7 linked regions of the Rattus norvegicus genome follow. The protein of the gene in region 2 interacts with the protein of the main gene of each other region in a pairwise test. Links are inferred from orthologs where the notes say so. Each region holds a gene or a part of one and is shown on either strand. Other genes may lie near its edges. The genes, in order: Ccdc92, Fhl2, Dcp1a, Banp, Jup, Zfp131 and Sp2.

What was found.
Region 1: the proteins of Fhl2 (region 2) and Ccdc92 interact in binary tests that used the Homo sapiens proteins (3 or more experiments, as listed by UniProt). The two-hybrid records come from large-scale screens. The link is inferred for Rattus norvegicus from reciprocal best matches to the Homo sapiens genes FHL2 and CCDC92.
Region 3: the proteins of Fhl2 (region 2) and Dcp1a interact in binary tests that used the Homo sapiens proteins (3 or more experiments, as listed by UniProt). The two-hybrid records come from large-scale screens. The link is inferred for Rattus norvegicus from reciprocal best matches to the Homo sapiens genes FHL2 and DCP1A.
Region 4: the proteins of Fhl2 (region 2) and Banp interact in binary tests that used the Homo sapiens proteins (3 or more experiments, as listed by UniProt). The two-hybrid records come from large-scale screens. The link is inferred for Rattus norvegicus from reciprocal best matches to the Homo sapiens genes FHL2 and BANP.
Region 5: the proteins of Fhl2 (region 2) and Jup interact in binary tests that used the Homo sapiens proteins (3 or more experiments, as listed by UniProt). The two-hybrid records come from large-scale screens. The link is inferred for Rattus norvegicus from reciprocal best matches to the Homo sapiens genes FHL2 and JUP.
Region 6: the proteins of Fhl2 (region 2) and Zfp131 interact in binary tests that used the Homo sapiens proteins (3 or more experiments, as listed by UniProt). The two-hybrid records come from large-scale screens. The link is inferred for Rattus norvegicus from reciprocal best matches to the Homo sapiens genes FHL2 and ZNF131.
Region 7: the proteins of Fhl2 (region 2) and Sp2 interact in binary tests that used the Homo sapiens proteins (3 or more experiments, as listed by UniProt). The two-hybrid records come from large-scale screens. The link is inferred for Rattus norvegicus from reciprocal best matches to the Homo sapiens genes FHL2 and SP2.

Annotation. Positions count from the first base shown.
Region 1 is NC_086030.1:37,456,083-37,460,668, forward strand, and holds the start of Ccdc92 (coiled-coil domain-containing protein 92), read left to right. Parts: upstream 1-1,593; 5' UTR 1,594-1,705; intron 1,706-4,586.
Region 2 is NC_086027.1:52,920,236-52,924,812, reverse strand, and holds the start of Fhl2 (four and a half LIM domains protein 2), read left to right. Parts: upstream 1-1,486; 5' UTR 1,487-1,724; intron 1,725-4,577. UniProt on the Homo sapiens protein: May function as a molecular transmitter linking various signaling pathways to transcriptional regulation. Negatively regulates the transcriptional repressor E4F1 and may function in cell growth.
Region 3 is NC_086034.1:5,666,310-5,670,148, reverse strand, and holds part of Dcp1a (mRNA-decapping enzyme 1A), read right to left. Parts: intron 2,090-3,839; coding exon 1,962-2,089; intron 1-1,961. UniProt on the Homo sapiens protein: Necessary for the degradation of mRNAs, both in normal mRNA turnover and in nonsense-mediated mRNA decay. Removes the 7-methyl guanine cap structure from mRNA molecules, yielding a 5'-phosphorylated mRNA fragment and 7m-GDP.
Region 4 is NC_086037.1:66,985,892-66,989,730, reverse strand, and holds part of Banp (protein BANP), read right to left. Parts: intron 707-3,839; coding exon 563-706; intron 1-562. UniProt on the Homo sapiens protein: Controls V(D)J recombination during T-cell development by repressing T-cell receptor (TCR) beta enhancer function. Binds to scaffold/matrix attachment region beta (S/MARbeta), an ATC-rich DNA sequence located upstream of the TCR beta enhancer.
Region 5 is NC_086028.1:85,824,416-85,829,015, forward strand, and holds the start of Jup (junction plakoglobin), read right to left. Parts: upstream 3,015-4,600; 5' UTR 2,629-3,014; exon of another isoform or gene 2,556-2,628; intron 1-2,555. UniProt on the Homo sapiens protein: Common junctional plaque protein. The membrane-associated plaques are architectural elements in an important strategic position to influence the arrangement and function of both the cytoskeleton and the cells within the tissue.
Region 6 is NC_086020.1:53,457,959-53,461,589, reverse strand, and holds the end of Zfp131 (zinc finger protein 131), read left to right. Parts: exon of another isoform or gene 1-62; coding exon 63-193; intron 194-1,852; coding exon 1,853-2,527; 3' UTR 2,528-3,096; downstream 3,097-3,631. UniProt on the Homo sapiens protein: Plays a role during development and organogenesis as well as in the function of the adult central nervous system. May be involved in transcriptional regulation as a repressor of ESR1/ER-alpha signaling.
Region 7 is NC_086028.1:82,440,888-82,444,726, forward strand, and holds part of Sp2 (transcription factor Sp2), read right to left. Parts: intron 3,824-3,839; exon of another isoform or gene 3,684-3,823; intron 3,386-3,683; exon of another isoform or gene 3,192-3,385; intron 2,254-3,191; exon of another isoform or gene 516-2,253; coding exon 203-515; exon of another isoform or gene 1-202. UniProt on the Homo sapiens protein: Binds to GC box promoters elements and selectively activates mRNA synthesis from genes that contain functional recognition sites.

The sequences.
Region 1 (4,586 bases), on a different chromosome or scaffold from region 2:
GAGGCCGGTGCTCGGCGACGGCAGGGGAGTTGTGCCTAGCACTGGCCAGCTTACCTGCCGAGGGCCCGGCCCTGGCGGTGGTCAGACAATGGAGGCGTCCGGCGGCAACAGCAGCAGCAGCCTGGCGCGCTGGGGACACGGGGAGGTCCTCATCACCTGGGCGGGATGCTGGACGGCCTCGGCCGGGACTGTGCAGTGCTGGAGAGGACATGACAGAGAGCCATGCAGCGGACCGCTCTGCGAGCCCCCGCCCCCGCCCCGTGCCCCGTGCCCCGTGCCCCGGCCCGCGCGCGCGGCCATTACCGCTCTCTCCCAGGACCCGCCTGGATGCGCTCCAGGGCGCGGCCCTGGGCTCGCAGAGCTGCGGCGCTCACGCCCGCCTCGGCCCGGACAACAATGGGGCCCGGCCCGGGAGTCCAGCATCCGCGGGGCCTCTTCAGCTTCGTCCCGGCCCGACTAGGGCCTGCACCGCAGCGGGCACCGCGCTGACCTTCTCTCCCCGCCATGCCCGCGGCCCAGGCCCGGCTGAATGATGGGTTGTTTTCCTTTCCTTACTCCCCCGCTTCTCCCGACTCTACCGCCTTCCGCCCCCAAGCCCGCTCGTCGGCCCACGCCCCGTCCTGAAAAGGCAAAAGAGACAAACACACCTAATACGATCGGCCGGTCCAACTCGCTCCCAAGTGTGGCTGAGGAGCGCGTCTAGGCCGCGGACTCCGCGCGCCCACCGGCCTCCTGCTTTCCTCAGGGGACACCTCACAGGTGCGCCTCCGAGCAGCGCGCGCGCGCTCCGCACACCCAGACGCCTCCGGGGGACGGCGCGCGTGCGCACGCGCCAGGCCGGCCAGCCAACTCCATCCCCGGGGAGGGGCGGGGAGAACAAGGAGGGCACCGCACGCATGCGTGCCGGGCGGCTCGCGTCCCCGCCCACACACGCACGCGCGTTCCCTTTCGGCTTCTCCACCCCTCGTTGTCCCCGCCCCACCCCGCCCTGGTTACCCAGGGCAACCGCAGTGCGGCCGCACCTGAGCAGTGCGCTTGCGTGTTACTAACATCCCTCTTTTTTTCCCCCTCATCCTCGCCCTCGCCTTTGCCCTGCCGCAGCCGCAGGGAGTAGGGCGTCGTCCCCTTTCCCCTCCGCAGAGAGAGCATCGATCCGCCCGGGCCCTGCCCCCTCTCACTAGCAGACCGCTGTCGCGTCGGCGCCGCACCGTCTCCTCAGACATCCTCGGGTGCGACTAGCCGGACAGCCAACGTCTCCCGGCGTGCACCGCGCCGAGCGCTCTGAGGGAGCGTGCGGAATGCACCGGCCGGGCGGCGTCTCTTGAGGACCGTGCCGCGCGGCAGGGCCGCCGCGCACCCGGCTCCGACAGTCCCTGCCCATGGGCCGCGGGCCACCGCGAGGAGCAGGCCGAGCGCCGCAGCCGCCTGAGGGACCGTGGCAGGTGAGGCGCGCACCTGCGCTGATAAAGAATCCTTGAGGTTCGCTCGCGGGGCTCGGAGCCAGGCTGCGCACCGGCGCGGCGGGGGAGGCGCGTCGCAACGGCTGCAACCGCCGGCCCGGGCCGGGTACGAGCCGCATTGCAGGTGCGGGGCAGCGCCCCGGGGTCCGGCCCCACGCCGGCGGGATGCTGCGGGCCTCAGCTCCCCGCCCGCGTCACACCTGCCGCCTCCCGGACCCGCAGCCCTGGCGACCGGGTGGCTCCGCGTAAGTACTCTGCCCTGAGCTCCCGGGTCCCGCGGACGCGCACGCTGGCCACGCTCGCAGGTAGCGCTCCGGGTTGCGGTTCCCTCGGGCTCGACCCGGCCCTGCGGGCTAATGTCAAGCCTCAAGTATCTTTAGCTGCACGGTCTAGTCACTGATGACAATGAGGTGCCGGAGGAGAAAAATATGACCGTGCCCCGTGACAGGTGGCACCGATCGGTTTCATAACTAAGTACAGGCTTGGACACACCTTTAGGAGTGTTAGCATCCGGGCGTGATGGCGCACGCCTTTAGATTTCAGCTCTCGGGAGACAGAAGCAGGTGGATCTCCGAGTTGGAGGATAGCCTGAACTAGATAGCGAATTCCAGACAAGCTCAAGGCTACATGGTGAGACACCCTGTGTGGAAGGAAGGAAGGAAGGAAGGAAGGAAGGAAGGAAGGTAGGTAGGTTAGTTAAAACGAGGATCGCAGACTACAAACTAAGTTTGAAATTCATTTAAATAGCATTGGTATTATTTTATTTGCACAGCCAAGAATTCCCTGGCATTCTATCGCCATTGAATTGTAAGGTTTTTCAGATGCTAGCATTCCAGTTGACTTTTACCTCCAATTTTTCATGTTTTCTCTTTGGCTAACTGTTCACCAAAATGGCTGAATATTCTAGTATGTTTGGAAGAAAGGCGTTAAGACTTGTGCTTCTTTATTTTGTATGTGTATACATGAGTACCACTACTGAAAAGCCTTAAAATAGTTTGGATTGCTCCTCTGAAGCATAATGAGTCAGTTTTGTTTCGATTTTTCTGTTTGGATCTGAAGTATGGAAGGATGAACATAGGGCTCTACTGAGCTCTAGCCCCAGGCCTGATTTAACTATATTTTAAAGTATAGAACAATGACTTTCACGGACCAGAATTTTCCTGTTAACACTCTTAAACATCTCAAATAGGTGTTTTGGAAATTAGACATTTCTTTCAACGCCGAATCTTTTCAAAGAAATGCATGAATCCTTTGTTTAGAGCAGCTCACTCATTCTGAGTTCTTAACTCTCATCTGGCCTATGTTGGGAAATCGATTTTAACCTCATTATCTAATTGTCAGGATGTGTTTGCAGCAGGACTGACGTAATTATGATGTCGATGCTTTTAAGAAATACTTGTAAAGCATCCTCTCATATTTCTGGCAAGAAGATATGCACAGCTTTTTTTTCCTATCTAAAACAAGGTCAGCCATAAATAGATCCTAATGCAGACTGGGTGACACATTTATTAACTAAGATTAACTATCTCCTGGACTTCATATATTCTGAGGGCAGGGGCAAGACACCCTGCAGTGCCAAACATACGGAGACTGCTGCAAATGCAAGTCCCAGACCAGCTAGGCAGGTCTGGTGTTTGATCCCGCAGAATCATTTGGCAGGGACAGACAGACCTGTGTCCTAATGGTCTTCAGACATTTGAAGGTCTGCCACGCAGTAGGGATTTGATTGCTTTAGAGTCTTTCCGAGTAAGGAAGAGGACACTGAGTACTTACAGGAAGACAGCGTCCCTGGTGGTGCTGTAGAGCAGAATTACCAGGGGAAGTTCAGCAGTGAAAGGAAGGGGCTGCTCTTCCCTCCGGCTCCCTCCCAGTGCAGCACGAATGGAGGGGACTCAGGGGTGGAGGGAGTTGGGGGGTCTGATGGTGGGTCTCCCAGGGTTTGGTGGTCACTGGATTCCAGGACTTTGTTTCCCTCCTAGCTCTGTGGAGTTTGTTGTTACATGTTCTGCTGCCAGCTTCTAGAGCTGTGGGCATGTTGACATCCCCAGACACCTACTTGAATCCTGGGAAGATAGTGACTGGCTTCTCTGCTTGGTGTCAGAGCTAACTTGAACCCCATTTTGCATGTTTTTGGGGGCTTAGAAATAATAAAGCACTCCCACGGTCAGTGTTATGTTTGACATGTATTAGATACTTCTTCTCTGGCTTTTCTTTTCTGTAATAACCACCTAGTCAAGATAATTGCTGTAGGAAGTCATTCTTGCTAAAAATGAGGTGGTAGTGCCAATTGTTCCAAGAGTCAGCAAGTTGTAAAAGTGAGCTGAGGACATTACAGATGGGTAAGATACGACTTTTGGGCTTGCTCTGCATTTTGCTTTATTTCATTACTCAAATAGGAATCAAGTTTCATAGCAAAACAGTCAAGTCATACCTACCTAAAGTGGTTGTAGTCAGTGTTTTTTGGATGGTTTCTAAATATCCAGAAAGTAAATCAAAACTACAAAGTAGAATCACTGAAATGAGGAAAGGACAAGGAGGCCATCTTGGTTAGGCTTTCCATTGCTGAGGTGAAACACCGTAACCAAGAGCAACTTGGGGAGGAGAGGTTTATCCCATTCATAGTTTCATATAACAGTTCTCAGCAAAACCAGCGAGGGTAGGAATTCAAGCAGGGCAGGAACCTGGAGGCAGGAGCCTCCAGCCATGCAGAAGCCATGGAGGAGTGCTGTGCTCTGGCTTGCTTTCTCTGGTTTGCTCAGCCTGCTTACTTATAGATCCCAGGACTAACAGCCCACGGGTGGCCCTACCTACTGGGCCCTCCCACATCAGTCACTAATTAAGAAAATGCCCTACAGGCCTGCCAAAAGCCCAGATTTTATGGAGGCAGTTTCTCAGTTGAGGCTCTCTTCTCTCTGATGACTCTAGCTTGTGTCAGGTTGACATAAAACTAGAGAACACAGGGGCTTTGTGATTGAAGTACCTGTTTGTGCTATGCCAGTCTTGATAAGCTGGTTAACAATGGGAATAACTATGTCACTGTTGTCACTATTAGAATAATGACTCCCTAATATGTACATTAGTTGGGGTTAGCCCTGTGGCCTATGGCAAATGAACAGAGCAGGTTCC
Region 2 (4,577 bases):
CAATCTCAGCTGGTATAGAAACTGTTCACCTCATCTAGAGTCCTCACCATTTAATTGAGATAACTAACTTTACCAAAAGGAGCCGAGGATCCCTGGAGAGGCCAGATACAGCTAATGCTGACTACGGGACAATTATCCTAACTCCCTTGCCTCTCAAGTTCTGAGGTCCCACCATGGAGACCCTCTGGTGACAGCAATCAGGAAGTATCATCCAGAAGAAAGACACCACACGGTTCTTCCTGCCTTAAACGGAAAATGTGTTGCCCTCAGCACCCCTCGGATGGAGGAAATAACAAGCCTACCCCACACGACTTCTACCACTGTGATAGTTCTTCACTATCTATTTGACTGGGCTTAGACTCACCTAGGTGACACACCTCTAGAAGAATCTTTGCGGTAGTTCCTGAGATGTTTAACTGAGGAGGAAAGACTGGCTCCCAAAGTGGACGGCACTTCTCTAGAGCTGGGCAAAGAAAACTGAGCTCCAGGTCTCCTTGCTCGCTATTTCTTGACTGAGAAGACAATGTGACCAGCCACTTTACATTCTTACTGAGGCCATACCATTTTAGTGATGACAAACTATATCCTTTCATAGACTCTGCACCCAAATGAATCCCTTGATAAACTGTCACCTCATGACCCTGAGAAATCACCAACCCCGGCCTTCATTGCCTCTCCACATGCCCATCTTCCACCCTGTCCGGGTGTGGACCCATTTGCTCAAGAGCAGATGCTGCCTTTCCTAGGCGTGAGGATACCACATGCCTCACAACACAGTCTCGTGTCCCTACTAAAGACCAACTCTGCAGAGGACCTTGGCTTACAGTGTGAAGGCCACATTAAGACCAGCGTTTTCTTTGTGCCAGGAGGGAGCCACTGAATGTCCAACAGCTCTCAAGCCCTGAGTGTTGAGCATAGGACCTTCTCTCAGTGAGCTCCCTGGTGGAACAGGCTCATTAATGATTCTCTAGGTCATTGGTTTGGTTCATTCCATGATGGAAAGGTGTCTGCAAGGCAAGGCCCAACAGACTACCATGCCAATGTGTGCGCTACACACACATAGTTCCTTCCCCCACATCTGCAAACGACCCATCCATCCATGCTTGCACCAGGCTGCAACCGGGCAGGGACCCTGCAACCCAGAGGAGGGTCCTGGTGTTAGTAGTCCCGTGTCATTCCGCCCTTGGGTGGCAGTGGCTATAGCTCTCTGCATTGCCTAGCAACAATCCCGGGAGCCAAGTCCAGGGCGCAACGATGGTTGACAGTGTAAGCCAAACACCAGGAAGCAAGGAAGAAGGTTAAGTCAAACAAAAGGTCTGTGGTAACGTCAGCAGGGGGAACAGACGACGACCGGCTGCTGAGGGGCGCTCGCCGCCGCGCCCGGCTCTCCAGGCCAGCGCGCCCAGCCCGCCGCCCCGGCGCGTGTGTCCTTATATGGTCAAATGACTCGGCGGGGGTTCTCGAGGGCGGGCGCAGCGCCGGCTGCACTCCGCCCGCTGAGCCGCTGCCGCCACCGGTCCACAGTCCGCTGGGTTCCCCTAGACCCCGGCCTCACCGTGTGTGAGTACTCCTGGCGCCGCCCAGGCCACAGCCCTGCTTGGAACACGAGGATCCCCACCAGACAGCTGCTCTAGGACGCGTGGAGAGACACCAGTGGCCAGCGCACCCGGACCGCGGGGCGGAGACCCAGGAGACCGGAGCAGAGCTGTGCAGACCGCATCAGGGTAGGGTCCCGAAACGGAGAGGACAGATCCTGGCGGGAGGAGAGCCCTATTTGCAGAGGACACCCGGGATGGGGACCCCAAACGGAAAGGACAGATCAGGGAGAGAGGAGAGTGTAGCTGGGCAGAGGATACCCAGGATGATGACCCGAAATGAAGCGGAGGGAGTCAGGAGGGAAAGGGGAGAAGGTGGATCGGAAATGTGGCAGAGGCTGAAGGAAAGGCTTGAGGGGAGATCTCAGGACCCGCGAGTTGATCTACTGGGAGACATCCCTAGGAAGAACGGATGCGGGGCAGAGAGGACCAAAATCATGCGTGTTGGAGGACTTGAGCACAGGAGAGCCGAATTTGGAAATGGTGGGGAAGGGACTGTTGGTGTCCAGAGGGAGGGTGGCGGCCCTGTAAAGGTGGATCACTGCCAGGTGGTGGGAAACGATGAACTGCCCACAGGTCAGCCCCCAGAGGTGAAGTGGAACTGGTTCCTGAAGTCTATGGGAGGGAGGTGACAGGCTGGTCAGCACGTGGAAGGCCAAGCATTTCCCTTGAGAAGAAGTGGGAGTTTGCCTGTGACCACACACCTTGACTAATCCCCCAAATTAAAACCTGAGCCGTAGGGTTAAAAAAGAAAAACAACTTCTTTAGGATGAAAAGAATTCTGATAGATTTCAGTCTTATGGAAAGAAAGTCTTGAAATGCTTTTTCTGATTTAAAGTGAAGAAATGGCCATATTTGCTTGATAATCTTCAGTTGTGTCTCTGGAACTCAACAAAGAACGCATTTTATGAAATATACAGCTGTCTTCGGTAAAGCCAACTTTCTTACACATATTTCGGGAAGTAATTAACTACAATTTGGACTTATAGTTACAAGGTTGCCTTCGAAACACTGCTCTAAATGTGTCTCGTGTTGGGGTGCTACTTTGCTTATGTGTAAATTTCACAGTAATGCAATAGAGAAAGGGTGTTTGTGGGTGTGGCTTGTGGGGGGGATTGTTTTGTTGTTGTTGTTTGAGATAAAGCTTCATTCTGTAGCCAGGAAAGCCTGGAATTTACTGTGTCATCCCAGGTAGCTTCAAACTGGTGCCTATCCTGCCTCAGCCTCCAACGTGTTGCAATTGCAGGAGTAACCTACCACATCCTGCAGCTACAGTGATCTAGAACCTCCCCGTCGAAGCCCCACCACCATAGAAACCAATTTGCATTAAGTTTTAGAATTCCCAACCCAACTAAAGTTTAATAAAAAAAGAAAAACAAAACAAGATTTAAATCATTCTTTCCCTCATTCTTTTTTCAGATTCAGTGCTCTCCTAGTTTTTAACAGAACAGTATGCAGTGTTGGGGACCCCTGTTGTGGCTTCTTTTCCTTCTGCCTCCTTGCAGCCCAGCCTCCCAGGCAGGATAGGGATGGGTATAGAAGTCTTAGCTGGCAGATGTACTTGGAGCAGAGCCAAGTCTATCAGGGCCTCAGTTTCCTCCCAGAGAACTAGATAACTATTGCATAGTATAAGCACCATGTGTAGATTTTAAAGCCTCCTGTTCACAGAGAAAGAAACTTAAATAGAAAAATCAAAATAATTTGATGTCCAAAGTTTCCCAGCCTGTAGAGTGTGGCCCCAAGAACTGCCTCCAGATAGCTTGATATCTGAGTTCTGACCTCTATTCTCTACTACGATGCATTGAGAGAATATTCTGTTGAGGCCCTAGACCACATGTTTTGACCCAAGATTGTTAAACCACTTCAATACTGAGTGATATCTCAACTGCAGACAGAAATGCCCAGCAGGATATTAAAAAAAATAAATGAATAAACAAAAAACAAACCCAGCTAACTAAACAAACACAACTCAGAAGGCCAAGAAGCCTGGATTCTACCCCTGTTCTGCACTGAGAACTGGCTACCTAACCTGACACACCATGTCAAAGTCAATGTATTGACCAAGCCAACTCTTATCAAAGACAGCGTTTACTTAAGGGCTTGCTTACAGTTTTGAAGACTTAGTCTATTGTCATCATGGTAGGGAACATGGTGGCACACAGGAGACCTGGTGCTGGAGAAGTTACTGAAAGTTCTACATTGTGATCCACAGGGAGAGTTTGGCCTGACGTAGGCTTTAAAACCTCAACGCTCCAGCCCCAGAGACACACTTCCTCCAACAAGACCATACCTCCTAATCCCTCTAATCCTTTCAAAGAGTTCTACTCCCTGGTGAACATATTGTCAAACATATTTGCCAATGTCATCCTTCTGATTCAAACCACACCTCGGGACCTGCCCCATCTGTAACCAGCTGTGATCTGGATATGATTTTTTTCCTCCAAGACTCACGTGTTGGAAGTTTAGTTATCCTTGTGTAAGTGTTGGGAGGTAGGGCCTTTGAAAAGTGGAGTCTAGGGGCTAGAGAGATGGTTCAGCTGTTAAGAATAATTACCAAGGGTCTGAGTTGGCTCACAACTCATAATTCCCTGTAACTTCTGCTTCTAGAGATCTTACATCTTCTGGATTCAGTGGACACCTGCACAAGCTCATACAGATACATACCACACATAAGAAATAAGTCTTAAGAGAGGAAGTCTAGTCAGCAGAAGGCTCCTCCTTGGGAGGAACTGGGCTTCCTCCATGTATCTCAGCCTCTGCTTCCTGTGGATCTCTCTTCCTCTGCCTCCTCTGTGAGGCCCTTGAATCTACAGAACTCTGAGTTAAGTAAACCCACCTGAACGCAGAGCTGAGCGTTTAGGATGCTGGAAAGTGTTCTTGGAGCCAACAACTATAACTTGTCGTATACCCAGACTGTCAGTCAAAGAGTATACAGACCTGTGCTTGATGAGACCTTTGAAGTTATGCAATCAGTGAATGAGT
Region 3 (3,839 bases), on a different chromosome or scaffold from region 2:
AATAAATCTGCCTTTATTTGTTCTGCACATGTACTAGCGAACCACTTCCAAATAACTGAAACTCTGGAAAGTTGGGCTCTATTTGCTTTTTTGTTTGTTTAGTTTTTAAAGACAGGATTTCACTATGTAGCTTTGGCTGGGTCTGTGGACCAGGTTGGCCTCGAACAGAGATCCACCTGCCTCTGCCTCCTGAGTGTTCCCACCTCCAGATCAGCCAGTGAAAGTCAGTTTTACAGGACTCTAATTTGAAGGACTCAGGCTTATGCCACATGGTAATCAGGCGCATCAGTCTCTTGATTTCCCCCAATGACTTGTAGCAATACAGAACTGTCACAACAGCAAAAAGCAGAATTGGACTGATTTTATATTAAAAATTCAGTAAGCGTTCTTTTGAAGAATTTCCCCTTAATGGAAATTTAACATAAAACAGCCATTTGTAATACTACACCCTTTCTTACTAGTTCACATAAATCCTGAGCTTACAGGTATTTAATAATGTGCCTTTAATTTTTATTTTTTTTATTTCTGAGATAGGAGCTTACAGCACAGGCTGCCTAGCCCCCAACCTACTAGGGTTATTAATGTATACTATCATTCCAGCTCAACAAGTGTCTCTAATAAGCCTGTAGGATTTAAGATCCCAGAGGTATTTCCAGTGTTAATCCTGAGAAATGTTTACGGAAAGTGAAGACATAGATCCTACTTTATGTAGAAACTTAAACTGAGCAGGAAATGCTGGGCGGTGGTGGCACACGCCTTTAATCCCAGCACTGGGGAGGGAGTCAGGCAAATATCTGTGAGTTCAAAGCCAGCCTGGTCTACAAAGAGCTCCAGCCAAGGTGTCCGGCTTTCTAAATCACCACTCTGTTTTGATATCCCTCCTGGGTCAAAAACAAGCAAACTGTCCCTGTCCTCAGTCACACTTCTAACATCATACTGGACTATCAGAACCCAATCTAACCCAAAGCACATGGACACTAAGTATTCTTCTGAGCTATACCCTTGATCTTCAACTATACTTTTTTGTTCAGATGGTCCCATACTCAGGATAATCTGATTTAAGATTTTTTCTTTTTTCTTTTTTTTTTGCTTAAAAATGTTATGAAAGGGGCTGGAGAGATGGCTTAGTAGTCAAGGTCCTGAGTTCAATTCCAGCAACCACATGGTGGCTCACAACCATCTGTAATGGGATCTGATGCCCTCTTCTGGTGTGTCTGAAGACACTACAGTGTACTCATACATTTAAACCTTTAAAAAAAACTTTAAAATGTGTTATGAAAGTAGTGTGTACTGAGTGAAAACCACAGTTAGGACTGTACCTTCCCCTGGGATAGGAACAGAAGTAACACCGTGGGCTACTCCCCTCAGTACTGTACACCATCAGCCAGCCACAGTTCCCAATCCCGTGTGATCACTTCGGGGACAACCGATACTCCACAGCACACTGTGCTGCTAAGCTCTGGAGTCCAGCAGCGTAAGTACATCAACAAACTCAGTTTATGAGAGCTCTACCAGCAAGTAATGCCACTGTGAGGTGAGGAACACCTATACTCTTCTCAAAAGGGCTACCCTGAGCTTTGCTGACTAAATTCAACAGCTATTACAACCTGTAAAAATGCTTGACAAGACCTTGGGCTAGGAATTCTCCAACTAAGTGTATTGAGCCTTGTAACCACACCTGCACGTCCTGCACAGACTCCCCATCACTAAAGCACAAAAGCTTTGGCATAGTATGTGTACCCACTGGATACTATTAAACTAGTAGGTTGAAAAGTGGCTGGGGTATATGTACACACATACATATACACGTCGTACACAGAGATTAATATATTTAAAACAAATTTGATCTTTTACCAAGACATGCATTTATAATGTAGGCCATATTTTGTAGATTTTGAAACTCCCAAACCTAGTGTTCTAAAATTAAAGTCACTCTGTTAAATGCAAACAGATATACTCACAACTTGCATTTCTATACAGAAGAAATGGTTCATGGAGCTGAAATTCCAAATCTTTATTCACTGGTTCAACCAGATTGTGCATGTTCAGTCGGTTGACAATGGTAAAGCCATGGTAAGGCGAAGCTGACCTTTGATTTAAAGAAAGAGAACATGTGTTACCTTTCAATCTGCAGAAATGTTATCTACTCCTTTATTCTCATTAAAAAGAAATTCCTAGTTACATCATATGACAAGATTAGTATCTAAAATCATAAGCAAAAGTACAAGGCTGGGGATATAGCTCCATGGTAGAATGTTTGCCTACCATGAGCAAAGTCCTGGGTTTAAGCCTCAACTCTTAAAACAGAAAAAACAAAAAAACAAAAAACAAAAACCACGAAGTCAGACATTTCCCTCTCTGCACCTACGTCTTCATAAGGACTTAATTACTTAGCATAAAAGGCTAGTCATCACGGTTCCCACCCCATGTCACCTCCTGTGAGTCTTTCCCGCTTCCGCCACACTGGGCTCCCTGCCACTATCTGCAGGTCTGTTTCTACCTTAAGACCTCTGTCTGTACTGCGGCCCCCCAAACTGGTACCAGCATCTCCTCTCCGGCAAGTATTTGCCCAAATGTCACTTTCTCACCCCAACCCCCATCTCTTGATGTAAGCTCGTAATAAATTGATGCTGGAAGAAGTAACATTTTTTTCTTCAGTTTTTGAGACATGGTCATTCTGTGTGGCCCTGGGCTGCCCTAGAATTCTCTCTGTAGACCAGGCTGGCCTTGAACTTGGAAATCTACCTGCCTCTGCCTCCCAAGTGTAGGACTAAAGGCATGTGCTGCCAGTACCAGGTTTTTAAAAATATGGTACAAGTCTGTCTATGACTGCCACTCATTACAGCGGTAACTTTCCTTACACTAAATGGTCTTTGTATGTTTTTCCCGAGTTCTACAGTAAGAAAGCTCTAAATTTCTGAACCAAGGACATTCAACACACAATCCACTGAACACTCCTCAACCTAACACTTCATAGTTCACATTTGTTTCTGTAATATCACAGGGAGATAATGAAATCCTGTTCTCCAGATTCAGAAACAGAAGCAGAATTAAGGCTCATGCCCAAAGTCACACAAATTAAAAACTCCAAATCCAGTTTTCTTTTTGATTCCTGCAAAGTAACATTATGACATTCTAGTGTATTTTTGTCCAACGTACAGAAAATGTTCTTCAGTTCCCAAATAGAGGCTCTTAAGCCTCCTTTTCTTAGACCAATGCTATAGTTTGTATGAATTGTCTTAAATGAAGTTACTCACTATACTGAAGTTCCCACTTTCTCCAATCTGTTTTATTCTTCTAAAATTAGACCTATAAATATCCCCAAATGTTATAGACATTATGCTTATTCCTTAAAATTAGAGCTATAAATATCCCTGAGTATACAGACACTACTGTTCTAATAATAGTTAGGGGTTCTTAGAGACTTATATTGTTAATGAAGAGGTTGGAGTTAGATCTTTTTTATTTTAGAGAAGAAAAATGAAGTAGAGAAAAGAGTATCAAAGAAAGAGGAGCTTGTCATACAAACCTCGAAATACTTCCATTTAAAGGAAAAAGTGTATTTAGACAAGATCACAACGTTCTACACTAACATTTACAATAACACTCCATTCTTATAAAGTGGTACCAGTGGAGGATGGCTGTCCAAAAAAGAACTCGGCACAAAAAGAACCAATGTCTGTAGCCTTGCTGCTACCGCTCAAAGTTCTAGAATAGGCAAGGGATTTGCCTCTAACACCAAGAGCTATGGGTACCTGGGAATACAAGGGTCTCATGACTTGTCTCATCCTGTGGGCCACCTAGGATGAGGCCCCTATGCTGCCAAACAAGGTAAAGTT
Region 4 (3,839 bases), on a different chromosome or scaffold from region 2:
AGACCTAGACCCAAGTTCCTTCTCTGAGAACCTGGAAGGGGTCATTCCCAGGACTTCAGGGAAGGAATCCCAAAGTGCCTTCCCCTCAGATGTCTGGCCTAGCAGCTCCGTAAGTCCTTCTAATGCCTGTGGCAGGCAGGCCTCAACAGCTCCTGGGAGAAGTAAAATCCTGACCAGCCTACGGCCAAAGCCTGGTTCTCGGGTTCAGGGGAGCAGCAACCTCTGTGAGAGCCTGCACTGCGGACTGCACCAGGCTTGGACCACACAGAGGAAGGGGAGCTGCCAGTGCCAGCAAGGTGTGCAGAGGAGGAGGGAGACTTCACATGGTACAGAACCGGACTGTTGAGTCTTCTGCTCCTACCACGGTCACCTGCCCTTGCCGGGCCGAGATCAGAGGAGCCCACACATTCTGACTTTAGGAGTTCAGAGTGAACAGAAGCTCCATGCCTCTGCCAGACCTGTATGCTTCTCGACAAGGGTTCCTAGTTCTAGGAATGTCAGTCACAGTCCAAGTTCAGTATCTACCAGGGAGGCTGGTGGGACTGAGAGGGACAGGACTCACCTGCGTTGCAGCCGTGTGGTCACTCACGGGCGCCAGCTGGACATACTGAACCTGAATGTCACTGCCCTGGAGAGGCGACCCATCTACTCCTGTAGCTGCAGGGTCTGAAGAGGCCACGGCTATGAGCTGAGCACCCTGCAGTACCTGGGGTTGGGGACAAAGCCAGGTTGGTCAGTGGAGCTTGGGTCAGCAGACCCCTATCCTCTTCTGGTTCAGAAGCAATAAGAGGCCCAGGCCCACAGCATGGATGTGAATGCAATGGAGCCTCAGTGCCCACTGCAGACACACCCACCTGACGTGCTGAGTTTTGACTGTCATGAAATCTGCCACATTCACACTTAGTCTTGCAGAAACACCCTTGTTACACACAGACATTAGTCTTTTAAAGCCCGTGTGGAAACCAATAAGCTAGAACTTGAAGACTGCACAGGCACACTGAAGACAGCGGGAGAGCTTAACAAACCCCGCACAGAGCCCATGTGGAGCCAATAACTTTAGATAGAGAAACAAAAGGAGAGGGAGGGCTGCAGTAGGTGTACTGCTTGTGTGCCAGCATGAGGACTTGCGCCTGGATCTTCGGTATCCACACACAAATCAGGAGCAGCTGGGTAACCCCAACCAGGAAGACTGCTGGAGGTGGATCACGGCCAGCCTAGCCAAACAGTGAGCTGCAGGTTCAGTGAGAAACCCTCAGGAAAAATAAGGTGAAGAGAGATGAGGACACCATCCACAAACACGTGCGCGCACACACACACGCACGCACGCACTCGGACACACACACACACGCACTCGGACACACGCACACAAAGAAGAAAGAAGGGAAGAGCTACTGTGGCAGGGACAGTGAGGGGCAAACAGGCTCCAAGGGGAGGGTGTGAGCAGAGACACCAGGGGCAGGTCACTACAGAACAGATCCTTCAGTCCTCTTTGCTGCATCCCTCCATCGTCCTGACCCTGCCTGACAGTGACCCTGCCTCAGAATGGATGTGGAGTAGGAGGAATAAGCTTGGGTGACTCCAGCTCTGGAAATCCATCCCACTGATTCACTTCCCACAAACTCCACCTGCTGCTCACACGACCGGGCAGGAGGCTCGAGGCAGGCAATACAGAGCCTCCATCTGCGCACTCACAGGTGCCCTTCAATCAGCCTTGGGTACTGCCCTAGGTGGGAAGGCCAGGGCGCCCAGACGTGCAACCCCAACAGTGGACAGAACCCCAGCAGTGGACAGAACTGCTGGGTAGGAAGCACATTTGGCATGGAGAGGACCACGTGAGGTTCCCCACAACCAGAGACAGCAGTACAAACTCACCCAGACAACTTCTAAGAAGAGCTGTACTTGTAAACAGCTAGCTTGACTGTCAGATGACATGTGCCCTTTTAAAGGACACACTGTAAATAAGGACAGTGTCTCTTATGCTAATGAGGGTCTGCCAAACCAAAATAGACCCAGGTTCACAGGCACTGGGAAAATATTTTTAATGACTTTAAAGTCCTTTTTAATATTTTTGAATAACTAAAAAAAAGTGAGACAACTATTTGGGGATGTGACTGCCGACTCATGCTGGATTCTAATAAGGAGAACTCCCAGCATTCCTCTGGGAAGCAGTCTATCTACCTCCTTCCTGGGGAGTGCAGTGGCTTCTGGGTCAATCTCACTTCCAGTGTGATTCCCCTCATCTATGGAGGCCTGACAGCCAAGAGACAACAGCAACAATAACAGCCTGTCTCTGCACAACTCTGGCCCTCAAGACACACCTCTCGAGCTGCTTATGGCTGCTCTTCTCTATGTCAACATGTGGGGATAGGAGGAAAGTTTCCTGGGCCTCACAGGAACCACACATTGGTCAGCTACCCCATGGGCCATGGTGATAGGCAGTGGGATGTTCAAAAACAGGGGAGCCAGTCCTCAGCCCTCTCTAGGTGCTCAATCCAGGTTAACTAAAGGAAGAAGGGTGTGCAGACACACATCTGGGAACTGGTTTCCAGGCAAGCTCAGAACTCAACATAAACACTTGCCTGCTGCTTCTATCCCAGATACCTCAGCGTCCCCTATTCCACACCCACTCTGGCACAGCTACTGCACAATGCCACTGGCCACTCCCTCCCTCTGCAGAGGAAAGCAGGGCAACAGATGCTGAGTTGCCCACAGCTGGCTGACAATAATGACTCCTTGTTTAGATAAAGCATGGCTCCTTCCAGCAGGAAAAGCCTGAAACAGGGTAAAATGATCCAATCTTATAAGCATCAGTGACAGAAGCCTCTAGATTCCTCCTTCACTCACTCTGACTTGCAGGCAAGTTCGTTATTTTTGCTAAGAACTACATTTCTCCAGGCATGGTGCTCTCCCTCATCTGACCAAGCAGTTCAACTTGAAACAAAACGGGGGATTTTACAGTCAGGAGACGGTAAACCGAGCTCCTGCTTGGGGACAGCCCTTGGTGGCAGACTTGGATGGAGCCCGGCTCTTCCAGACTCTCCATTGTATATGCTGGCCTGGGCCTTTCCTGGGTAGCCAGCGCAGCTTGGGACCTCTCCTCCCCTGCATTGCTCACCCAGCAGTCTTCCTGGTCTCCCTACTCAGCAGCTCCTGTGGATCTTAGTGGGTCCCATGGGCTCCTATGATAACCCTACAGGCTACCAAAGCCATCTCTAAGGACCAGTGAACACTTCCCTCCAGCACCTGAGTCACAGGAGCTTCCTGGTCTCACTGCCAGAACTTGGGCTCAAGCAGACAGGACAGTATCTATGGCCCACTGGTGCCTGTCTCCCCTGACCTACCCAGGGCCATCCACCAGGGTAACCCAGGTAGAGGCAAAGGGGGGCTCTCCACACGTTCCTTGAACAGCAGAATCAGCAGGCTTCAGAAGGAAGGAAAGGATACAAACACTAGAACTGCTCCAACGGCAGAATGACCCTGTGTCCAAGAGTGAAAGGCTCCATGGGGTAAGGGCTCTGAGCTCAACAGATGGGCCTGACTTGATGGCCATTCATCAAGCCATATGTCTTCATATGCCATCAACTGTTACAAGTATGCCTATACATGTCTTCAGACACCTGTGGTCATAGATGTGCACATGCACACATCTGTAAGTAAGGCACATGCCTGTTCACAGACACCTTATCAGCTCTGCTAACCCCTACCATGCACCTCTACTATGATGTCTCTGGCTGGCAAAGCAAGCTCTTAGCCTCAGGCCTCTGTAGGTATCCAGCATTGACAGTGGCAGTTACTGTGGCAGCCTCTGTAAGCCTGGGCTCAGTGTGTGGCACTGTCTA
Region 5 (4,600 bases), on a different chromosome or scaffold from region 2:
AGAAAGGACGGGGGGGGGGGGGGGCGGGTTGGGGATTTAGCTCAGTGGTAGAGCACTTGCCTAGCAAGCGCAAGGCCCTGGGTTCGGTCCCCAGCTCCGAAAAAAAAAAAATTAAAGGACAGTGGGGGGATACAACTTCCATCCAGGGCCGATGATGGATCCCATGGGAAAGTGCTTGCCTACGTGCAAATCCACAAGGCCCTGGATTTGGTCCTTAGCAGCCAAAAGAAAAAGGGGAAAGAAAAAAGAAATCCTTCCAGAGTTGTAGTAGAGCCTAACAGCAGAATGAGGTCTGAGCTTAGCCCTCTCTTGAGTCTAGCAACACTGGGCAAGTTGCTATCCTTCCCTGAGTTTCTGAAGAAGACATTAAAGTGCGCCTGCCTCGGGCTGGAGAGATGGCTCAGTGGTTAAGAGCATTGCCTGCTCTTCCAGAGGTCCTGAGTTCAATTCCCAGCAACCACATGGTGGCTCACAACCATCTGTAATGAGATCTGATACCCTCTTCTGGTATGTCTGAAGACAGCTACAGTGTGTTCATATACATAAAATAAATAAATAAATCTTTAAAAAAAAAAAAAAGTGCGCCTGCCTCTGTGAGCATGGTTAGTGGCGCTTGGTACCAGACAGTCTTCTGGCTTTGAGTTACCATCAGTCAAGTACTTTCTGGGTAGCTAGGTTTATTAATTCCTGAGGTCGCTGAGCCAGGAAGGTGCTTTGACGCAGGCTGCACAGGTAAGGAGACACTGCTCAGGGATTCAAACTATCTCAGTCCAAGTCCCTGTTCTCAGAGCTGACCCCTTAGACTGTCTCCCTAGATCACTGTCCTTCTGTGGACCAGCCAAATGTGTCACCTTGTCCTAAAGCAGCTCTGCAGGACGACAGGCCTCCCTCTCATAGGCAATGACCTGTGGGCCCCCAGGAAGGAAAACAGTCAAGCAGGCCCCGCCTGACCTTCCGTTCCCACAGGCTGCATTCTCCAAGCTCAACCTTAGCAGGCCAGACGGCGGCTCCAGAGGGAATGGGGTGGAGCTCGGGTGCGGGGGAGGCTTCTGTCACCCAAGCCCAGACTTGATCTGGTGAGAAATGACTAATCGGATCCTACCTTTGCTTCCCCTCCCTCCTGTCCGTCAGAAGCCAGCTTGGGCCGGGCAGCTCATAGCCCTACTTCTTCCTCAGTACTGTCTTTTCACCAGAGCCACGAACCAGATTTGCTAAACTATTCATTTAGTTCACCTAATGACAATGCCTACCCCTCCTCCTCCTTGACACGGAGAGGACATGAGCCTAAAACTAATGCCCCCAGTTCTTCCTAGAGGTGGTCACACATATTTTACCAACCACAGGACCTAAGGCGAGATTACGGGGGATATGTCTCCCACCCCCACTCTTCTATTCACAACCAAGCACCACCTCAGCTTCCAGGAGAATCAGAGCAAACAGTGCTCACGACCCCCACCCCATCTTCCCTCTGCCCCCCCCCCCCGCTAGCGTTGTCATTCCTGCTCTGTCCCCCCAAGAAGACTGGACTCCAAATGCCTATGAAAAGGCCAATCTTCAGATTTGTACAGAAGAGTGCAGCAAGCCGAGTAGAAGTTGACAATTCCAGCTGGAGAGGAGCTCTCAGCACAGGGAACCAAGGGGAGGGCTCACACTGTTCACCCTGAGGGTGCCTGGCATGGCAGAAGCCTTCCATAGCAAAGACTTCCTCCTGTCCCACTTTCCCCGCCAAACACTCAGTTAAAGAGTGGGTGGAGGAGGGACTTCTGGCAAGTCCTCTAGAAAGGACGCACCTTCATAATTCAAACCCAGTGAACAGCAAGCAACATTCCTGCCCTATGCTACCCTGCCTCAATGGTCAGCCAGCTAAATAAGCTGGGGGATGGAACGGGGGAGTTGGGGAAAGATTAATCACTCTTCCCAATCTTCCTAGTTTGGCCCAGCCCTGCCCCAACCCCATTCCTGGGGAAGGGGCAGAGCTTGGGAGGAGAGGCACTTAGCAGGCCTCATATAAGGGGGTGTGGTGGTCCCGTGAGGATGCGAAAAGGGAAGGAAGAAGACACTTCCCTTTTCAGCAACGCCCCCACCCACCCCCATTGGTCCCTACCTCGGGCCTTAGGGGCCTAGCAAACAGGATGGAGGTGGGGGCAGGGAGAACCGGGTCAAAGCGCACAGGCTGTGTTCAGCTTGGAGCTGACCAGGGAAGAGGCTTTCCTCTAAGAAGTACCACCAAGCCTTGAATCAGCTCTCAACAAGGAGACGGGGAAAATCCTAGAAAAGGCCCCCACGGTTACTTTCTCCTGGAAAGTTTGTTTGGAGTGATTTCTCAACAATAATGGGTTGCAGAAATCAAAAGATATCGCTGTTTCCCTACCAACACTCTGGAAACCACAAGCTACTAAAATCTGGGCGAGTGTTTCTTAATTTTCTCTACCGGCCCAGACTCCAGGCCATGCCACCAGGTCAGACAGACATCGGTAGGGCACTGAGCCCAGACCCTTCACCAGTTCCCCCGTCACCCCATCCACCTCCGTAAGAGAAGCCATAGACCGGCGTACACTAGAGCGGAGGGAGGCGCCACAGGTCCAGCTCGGAGCTACAGGGCAGGGCCTCGGTCCTCCAAGCGCTCACCTGCTCTGCTCAGCAGGTGGGAATCGCGTCTCTGGGAAAATGTGCACTCGGCCCCCACAGTTGGGTAAGCTGGGCGCAGACAATAGGGCCCCACCCAGGCCTGGGGGAGTAGGGAGGGAGGGAAAGCGAGGATGACGCGTGGGGTGGGGTGAGGGTGGCCCCAAAGAGACTAGGCAGCAAGTTTCCCGAGCGGTAAATTCCTGTCACCGTGGGATCTGGGACCAGGCGGAGCGGGTCAAAGTCTGCCCGGTCAGCTCCAGGGGAGAGTCAGCGACGCCGCGTCGGGCAAGCTCCGCGGGCCCTGGGGGAGGCGCGAACTCCGAGGCACCTGCCCTAGTTCCTCCCCGCCCTTCTCAGACCTGCGGTTCACCGAGCCTGGAGGGGCGCTCCAACCCAGATCGCTTGTCCCAGGGGTCCCGTGCCCCGGACCCCAGTGCGCCCCCTGTCGCTGGTGTAGGATGCACTCCCTGGCACCCGCCCTCACCTGCCCTGAAACCGCTGGAACCAACCTCTCGGCCGCTTGCCCTACTCTACCCTCAGTGATACGTACCCCTATCCGGTGTACCTGAGCGTGGAGCCGGGCCGAGCCGGGTCGGGGTCGGGTCTGGCCGGGAGACAGCCGGCGCAGGCAGCGAACTGAGCTCGGGGCGCTCGGGCGGCGGCTGCTCCGGACTCTGGCCAAGGCAGCAACTCAGTAACCGAACAAAAGGCAAAGGGACCTGACAGCCAAGCCACACCTCTCGCCCCCTTGAAGCTCCGCCCCCTAGGGAGACTCCCACCCTCTGAGGTTATCTCACTGGCTGCCCAGCCTGACTATCCTATTGAGGGGCGGAGCCTCACGCCGGGACCTCTACCACGGCCGCCTCTGTTTATGCGCTCACCATTGGCCCCAGGGACTGCCAGTCGACTCTGGGGTGGACGCCAACTTGAGGTCTCATCCTCACTCTGCATCTATTGGCAAATAGAAAGTTTCTTCCTTATGATTGGACAGAGGGCTGTCAGTAAGACTAAGGCAAAAGCCAATGGAACAGGTGGGGCGTTACTTGCCCCACCCTAGCCCTGAGCAGGTAAGACTCATTATTCTCCCCTTCCCCCTACCTGTCCAACAGGTGAGTCAGGGGGAAGCATGGGAAAGGACTGACGCCTTCACTAGCCAGCCAACTCAGCGTCAGGATTATTCATTCTTGCCTCAACATAGTAATAAGATGTTTGTAAAGCATTTCATAGGCTTTGTGCTAGGTTGGGATTTCTCCCCCTACAAAAGATGGAGTGTTCCCGGTTCTCTTCTGTTTAGAATTAGAAGGCCTGGTTTGGGTTCTCCCCTTAATCTTTGTATGACCTTAGGCCAGCTAGTATACTTTTCACCCTGTATCTAAGTGGGTTCATTAGCTTTATCTATCTTGGGTTGGAGAGATTAAATAAACTTTGTAGCTTAAACAGCTGAGGAATGTCAGTATTTAAGCCAGTGAGATGGTCCGTTCGAGACAGTTCTTAAAAAGTGCTGGAGCAGGCAGCCAGGCAGTGGTGACACGGGCCTTTAACCTTAACCTCGGCACTCAAGGAGGCAGAGGCAGGCAGCTCTCTGAGTTAGAGGCCACCCTGGTCTACAAAGAGGGTTCAAAATGATCCGCATTAAGAGAATCTTTAATGGGCTTGTGTGATGTCTCAGTTGGGCAAGTGTGATGACCTGAGTTTGATACCTGGTGGAGGTAGACCAAGTCCAAAAGGTTGTCCTCTGTCCCCTGATCTCCCGCCTTGGCACAAGTGCCACACACATAAAAGTAAATACAGTGTAATGCGATTTTAAAACTAAGCTCCAGAGATCGAAAGACTAGGAAATGTGGTGCACTGTAAACTTGGACACCTTATTTTAAGAACAGAATGGTCAGTATGTGTTTGTAGGGGTTCGGGCGGACGGTGGATACCTCTCCAGGGAGACACAGACAAAGCGATTCCGTCAAAGATTAAATCA
Region 6 (3,631 bases), on a different chromosome or scaffold from region 2:
TGAGCTCATATTTGCTTTTGCTCATGTTCTCAATTTTTCAATGTGTTTTTTTCTTATAATAGGTGAAAAACCTTTTGAATGTTCAAATTGTCACGAGCGGTTTGCTAGAAATAGCACTCTCAAATGTCACCTCACTGCGTGCCAAACTGGAGTAGGGGCAAAAAAGGGAAGGAAGAAGCTTTATGAATGCCAGGTATGTGTGGGTATATTTTGTTTTCATAAGAGGAACTTACTACAGTCATTAGAAGTGCAGAGTATTGGATAATTAATAGTCCTTGACTCGTTGGGTTGACTGAGAAGATTTTGACATGACGTTAAAGCAAAAAACACTATGTGTTCATTGGAAACCATTCCTGGAATTTTGAAATCTGATCTTTTCTTGAATTGGTGAAACCCAGTAGGATCTTCTCTTGTGACTCTGGGCAGTAAGTAAGCAGCAAGCTTCAGCTCCTAGAGAAGCATGCACTCAAAATACTGGATAAAACCGATACTCTCATGCGCCCCAGAACAGCTATGAATATGGGCCAAAACAACCGAAATCCCTTAAACAGTAAGGGGCTTTGTTTTTTAACTTGTACAGCTCTTGCATGTAAACTTAGAAGATGACAATGTCCTCCTGTTGCAGTGTCAAAAGGTTGGGCATGCCTTTAGTTCCTATAGTGTGGGTAGGTTAGGGGGTCTCAAATGCTTTTTTGACACAACATCGCAGTGGTATATCAGCATCTCAGGAAAGCTAGAGCCTCAGAAAGACCGAAGTAAAGTTTTAATACAAGTTATTAGCAGCCCTAGATGATCAATATTGACAAAATTGTCAAGTTTGGTAGGTGGTTTTCTTTCTTTCTTTCTCCTCCTCCTCCTTCTTATTCTTTTTCTTTTTTCTTTTTTTTAATTTAAAAAGGCAATCTGTCCTATTCCAGGCCAGGCTGATTTTGTAGCTGAATTATGGTTACCTCCTGTCTCTCCTAAATGCGGAGGCCTGCACCCCACTCCTGGTTGGGGACAGTAGGTTGGGTGTTTGTTTATGTTTATTGACTAACAGCTGTGCTTTGTCATCAGAGGAGACTTTGTAGGAGTTTGTGCTGTTTTCACTGCGTGGATTTTAGGGATTGGGCTCAGAGATTGTCTCCCAACGTGGTGGCAAGTGCTGCCTTTACCTGTTGAGCCAGCTCACCTGCCCACAGTTAATTATTTTTACCCTTAGGAACAGTCATTAGCTTCTGGGAGAGGGGCAGGAAAGGCAGAAAAAGATAGAACTGTGTTTTCCATGATCAATAAATTTTTCTTCCAAATAGTGTAATGGGTCTAAATCTTGAAACTGTGGGATAAACTATGATATTGGCACTTTATATTGGATATTTAACAGGAGCAATGCTGGAGTGTTCCCAGGATTTAGTCAGTTTTAGGTGTATGGGCTGAAAGGTCAAGTGAAACCAAGTGTGTGAGTAGCTTTGCACTAGGTGCCCTGGGAACTATATTTAAAATGGTTCTGTAATAACTTACCTGTGTGGATGGTAGTGTTTTGTCATTGGTTGGTTTGTTTTCTGGTACTGGGAATTAAACACAGGGCCTCCCATATGCTGCGCAAGTACTTTCCCCACTAAGTTATGCGTTCACCATTCAACCCGTATTAGTGTATCTTTGTGAGGATTTCTTTGCTGTTGTTTTTTGTTTTATTTGGTTATTGTATTTGTTGACTGTTAGGATTAGAACCAGTATAGTGCCTTGTGATTGCTAGGCAGATACTACTGAACTAACTTCAACCCATTAGTGTATTTTATAGAGAATAAATGTACCCGCATTTACTTCAGTATGATTACAATTATCATTAACATACTGTGTTTGGTGATTTCAGGTCTGTAACAGTGTATTTAACAGCTGGGACCAGTTCAAAGATCACTTGGTAATACACACTGGAGATAAACCCAACCATTGTACTCTGTGTGACTTGTGGTTTATGCAAGGAAATGAATTAAGGAGGCATCTTAGTGATGCTCACAATATTTCAGAGCGTATAGTGACTGAAGAAGTCCTTTCAGTAGAAACACACTTACAAACGGAACCAGTGACATCAATGACTATTATAGAACAAGTTGGGAAAGTGCATGTGTTACCATTGCTTCAGGTCCAAGTGGATTCTGCACAAGTAACTGTGGAACAAGTTCATCCAGATCTGCTCCAAGACGGCCAAGTGCATGACTCACAAATGAGTGCGCTTCCAGAGCAGGTCCAGGTGAGTTACCTGGAGGTGGGTCGGATCCAGACTGAAGAAGGTACTGAAGTACACGTTGAAGAGCTTCACGTCGAACGGGTCAATCAGATGCCAGTGGAAGTACAAACTGAGCTTCTAGAAGCTGACTTGGATCACATGACCCCCGAAATGATGAGCCAAGAGGAGAGCGAACCTAACCATGCAGATGCTGCCATGGAAGAGTACGAAGACACTGAGGGCTTGGAGACCAAACCAGGAGAGCACTCCCACGCTGTAAAAGTGGACCACGACAGGACATCTATGCCCGTTTTAGAATGAAATAGCAGTGATATTTCTAAATTTACATTTGGGGTAAACTGATGGGCAGTGTGATCGTAAGCTATCAAATAAGTGGACCAAAGTTAAGCTATTTCTGTTGTGCTGAACTGTTTCTATGGAAACAGGCTGATGTCCTTCCAGTTAATGCCACAGAGTGGGAATATTCCTCATAATGAGTGGGAGCTTTGAGAAGTATATTTCTGGTAACTTAAATGAATTATATTCTTATTATATAGTTGGGTCCGAATGCATCTATTTTCATTGTGGTAAGGGTCTCCGTGTCCTCTTCCCCAGGTCATGTCTCTCCTTAAATTCTTTGCATATTATAAAATCATACTTAAAACCATTAGAATACATACATTTGTATTCTAATGCATGTTTAAAAATTGAGTATGTAGGCAACACAAGGCTGCATGAGGGAAGTGCATTGTTACTGTGCAGTTAATAGTTGGGGGCTAGCTTTAATTCGAACAACATTCTTGTCTAACTAGTGGCTACAAATGCTGTCCCCACAACAGAAACGGTGGTGGCAGAATTTCTAGAATGTTAAAAAAAAAAAAAAAAAAAAACCACCCTGTGCCTTTTCAAAAACCAACAAAACTTCAGAAAAACATCTCTGGTTCTTTCAAAGTTTGTGTTTTAAAGAGCAGCATAAAGTGCTCTGGTACTTGGTATTTTTGCTTAAAATGACAATTACCAATTCATTTTCCTTTAAGTTACATTGAAAATTTTTCATTTAACGGCGGCTAAAGGGCCATTTTCAATGGAAAAAATTCATTTCCATCTGTGGTAAACTTTATTTTGATGAGAACTTGCACTAGTATTTTACCACCAGATGGGAAAAGATTAGCTGAGCATCATTTTAAAATTAATGTATTTAAATAAAGTACAGAGGAAACGTATGTATATAATATATCAGGCTTTGTTTTGAGTGGACTCTTTTCCCCCCAATCCTTAATGTAAAGATTTTGTGCTATAACTTTTAAAGCCATACAAATAAGAGTGCTAAACTGTGGACTTAAAAGTAGTTGTGTAAATATTTTTAATCAGTATTACTTGGAAAATAAAAATATAACAACCACATAAAATCAATATGCTATTTTC
Region 7 (3,839 bases), on a different chromosome or scaffold from region 2:
TCACAGTAAGGACCAACTGTGAAGACAATACACACAGATGTGCCCTGAGGCAGGAGGGGACCAGGCAAACACCAGGCATCATCTCGGATGGCCAGCATCCTCATGGCTGACACTGGAGATCCCAGGGGCCTGGCTGGGATTCCCATAGGCTGAGTGCAAAGCCCGGCTGCAGGGCCCTCCTGGCTTCAGGACTCTCTCTCACCGCCAGTGTTGGTGATGGTGACAGGCACACCCTGGACTTGGACACCATTGATGTTGATGGTCTGCATGGCCTGAGCAGCTGCTGCCAGCTGTGCAGCGTTCAGGCTGATGATGCTCCCAGCAGGTGCAATCTTTGGCAGGGGTCGCTCTTTTCGGAGAATTGCAGCCGAATGCTTTTTGCTGGAGCCACTCAGATGGGGAGCTCGGAGCGCCGGGCTGCTACAGGAGACGGTTGACGTGGTTGCAGCTGTTGCTGGGGGGCTGTCCTGGACAAGGACCGTCTGTACCTCACCAGAAGGTGTACGGATATAAACCTGAGGGGCCAGAGAAAAGAGTTGGCAGCATGACCTTGTCCAAGGGAGGGCTGGGACACCTCTGTCATCTCATCAAGCCCAAGAACATATTTATGCACTACTGATGCTTGACAAGGCCAATGATGCCCTACACTAAACTGGCATGAGTGGTCACTGACCTGTAACCCAACCTTTACTCTGCTTAGCATGGAAAAATATTAACTGCTAAATCTCAAAATCGGAAGACTAGTAAAAAAGCACAACACCAGCATGGGCTACGGTCACATGGAGGCCAGCTTAACCACAAAGCAAAATTATCTTTTAAAAGGAGGGGGCTGCAGAGGTGGACCAGTGGCTAAGAGTAATGGCTGCTCTTCCAGAGGTTCCACATTTCCCAGCACCAACAATGGCGGCTCACAACCATCTGTAATGGGATCCACTGCTCTCTTCTGGTGTGTCTGAAGACAGCTACAGTGTACTCTCATATATAAAAATAAATCTTAAAAAAAAAGAAGGGGTTAGGGATTTAGCTCAGTGGTAGAGAGGCCCTGGGTTCGGTCCCCAGCTCCGGAAAAAAAAAAAAAAGAAAGAAAAACAAGTTCATAATTAGATATAGAGGATCATTGCTTCTCTCCTTTGTCAGGCTCTGCCACTGTAACTGTCACCAACAATAGGACAAACAGAACTCTTGAACTGCTTTGGCACAGCGCACACCCTTCTGTGAGCACGCTCATGGGAATGTCACATAAACTCAAGGACATTTTGTGAAACAACTGCCTGTGGCCTTCGAAAGCAGCAAGGCCATGACTGTCAAGGTAAAAAGTGCCGATCCTCGAAGCCCTGGGTTAAACTCCAGCTTCATGGTGGTGGGGGTGTGAGGAACTATTCCTGAAAGAGAGATTGACCAGAGACGTGTGACTACTGTACATGAGGTGGACAGAGCCCATGGGCAGTGCTGGAATTACTAAGCAAAGCATGCAGGAAACCTGAGTGGTGCCTCCCCATTGGACACCAGCATTTCACTAGTGAGTTTCAGGCTTGATGGATGCGATGTGTACAGGGACTGTGCTTGTGTGGGAGAATTAAAGCACTTGGAAGTGGGAGGACGACCATGGTGGCAGTTTATGCTTAAATGATCCAGGAAAAAAAAATCCTTTGTAAAACTGTGATTTTAATTGGGGATATTTTTAATTCCTGGTTACTGAAGACTGCTTTTAGTTAAGTGACAACATATAAACCTGCCATCCCTCAATACATACAGAGGCCTCATATCTTCCCCAATCTGTAGCATGTTGCCATGTACTCATTCTTTCTGAGGTAGTAAACAGGCTCACTAACCGGGGGGCGGGGGGGGGGGCGGGAGGAGAGGACCTGTCCGTTTCTGTCTTCCCTTTTGCTAAGCTCTGACAGCCTGAGTCAGGTGGGGGGTCGCTCTCCTTGGGTGGGTGCTGGGTGCTAGGCACTGCTTGATTTTTATTACCATGCTGTGTGGATGTGTTGTCTACATGTCTGTTATCACATGTGTGCAGATGGAGACCACAAGAGGACGCTGAGTCCTCTGGGAGTGGAGTTACAGCTGGTTGACAACCAACATGTGAGTGCTGGGAATCAAACTTGGAGCCTCTGGAAAAAGCAGCCAGTTTCTGAACCATGACCCAGCTCTCCAGCCCCATGATGAACATTGCTCAAGTCTGCTAAAATCACTGGGCCTGGTAACACACATGTCAGTCCTGCCTCAGCCTTCTGAATATGGCTACAGGTGTGCACCACTGCACCTAACTCAACTTTTTTTAAAAAATATTTTTAATATTTATTTTATGTATATGAGTACACTGTTGCTATCTTCAGACACACCAGAAGAGGGCATCAGATCTCATTACAGATGGTTGTGAGCCACCATGTGGTTGCTGGGAATTGAACTCAGGACCTCTGGAAAGAGCAGTCGGTGCTTTTTTTTTTTTGGTTCTTTTTTTCGGAGCTGGGGACCGAACCCAGGGCCTTGCGCTTCCTAGGTAAGCGCTCTACCACTGAGCTAAATCCCCAGCCCCGCAGTCGGTGCTCTTAACCGCTGAGCCATCTTTCCAGTCCCTGGGTCAACTTTTAAACGTTCATTTGAGCACTCCTTCTCACGATCATTTCCCAGCACCAACAATCTGTTGGCTCACAACCATCTGTAATGGGATCCAGAGACACTGGGGAACGGAGTTTGACTCCCACGGTGCTGGAGTCTCCTTTACTGCCCTGTCTGCCTTGAGCAACCTTAGGCTCTGTCTGTTCCTGTCTGCTTTACAGTGGGCTGAGCTGGTAACAGAAAGGAGCAGCAACTGGGCATGGTGGTGCAAGCTTTTAATCCCAGCCCTCAGGAGGCAGAGGCAGTCAGATCTCTGAGTCTGAGGCCGGCCTGGCTGGAAGGAAGGAAGGAAGGAAGGAAGGAAGGAAGGAAGGAAGGAAGGAAGGGGCAGCAGACATTGTAAAGTGACAGGAGCAGCTGCGCACAGCTGGCAGGGCAGACTACAAAGCAGCAAGGTGGCGGTCACTTGGCAGCTAAAAAGACAAGAGTTGAACAGCTGGCAGAATGGCCAGCTGCCTTGACAGCTGCAGAAGTAGAAGCAGCTGTGAACGTACTCCAAGAAACCAGAGGTCATCATGTTGAGTGGAATGACAGGGTCGGGAAAACAAGTTTGTTTTCTCCTTCAGGAGGAGTCTAGACTGAAGGGGAAAACGCATACTCACATGCCCACGTGCACACACAATGAATGAAGCACAAGAAACCATCTCTCAGGGAGAAGCAGAGGTGGAGAGAAGCAAGGATAGAGCTCACTTGTAATCCCAGCACTGAGGCTGCAGCAGGAGGATTCCAAGTTTGAAGCCAGCTTTGGCTGTGCAGTGAGGTAAAGGCCTACCTGGGACACAGGGAGACCCTGTCTCAAAAAAGGAAAAAGGTCTGGCTGCACCTGTTATTTTTCTTGTCATTAGCAGTGGCCAGCATTTTTTTCCTCCTGAACTTTCTTACTTTACACCAAATTCTATGGTTCTGGCTCAAATTCTCACTCTTGCCGTTATATGTAATCTTACAATAAAAATACTTTATTATGAAAGTATACATATCTAGCCTGTTATGGCCCCAGAGCTACTCCATAAGGAAAGAAAAAACAGACCAGTTTTCCCTGTTCCATCTGCTTTCTACAGAGGGAACTATGTCTACTTGGCCTAAGACCTGAAGAGATCTCAGGGCAGAAGCCATTTCCTGCCACCCCAAATGATGGTGACTCCAGCTTCCCATCAGATCTGCTGCTGATCTGCCTCTGTTTCAAAAGCAAGCCAAAGGGGTGAGCAGAGAGGGAG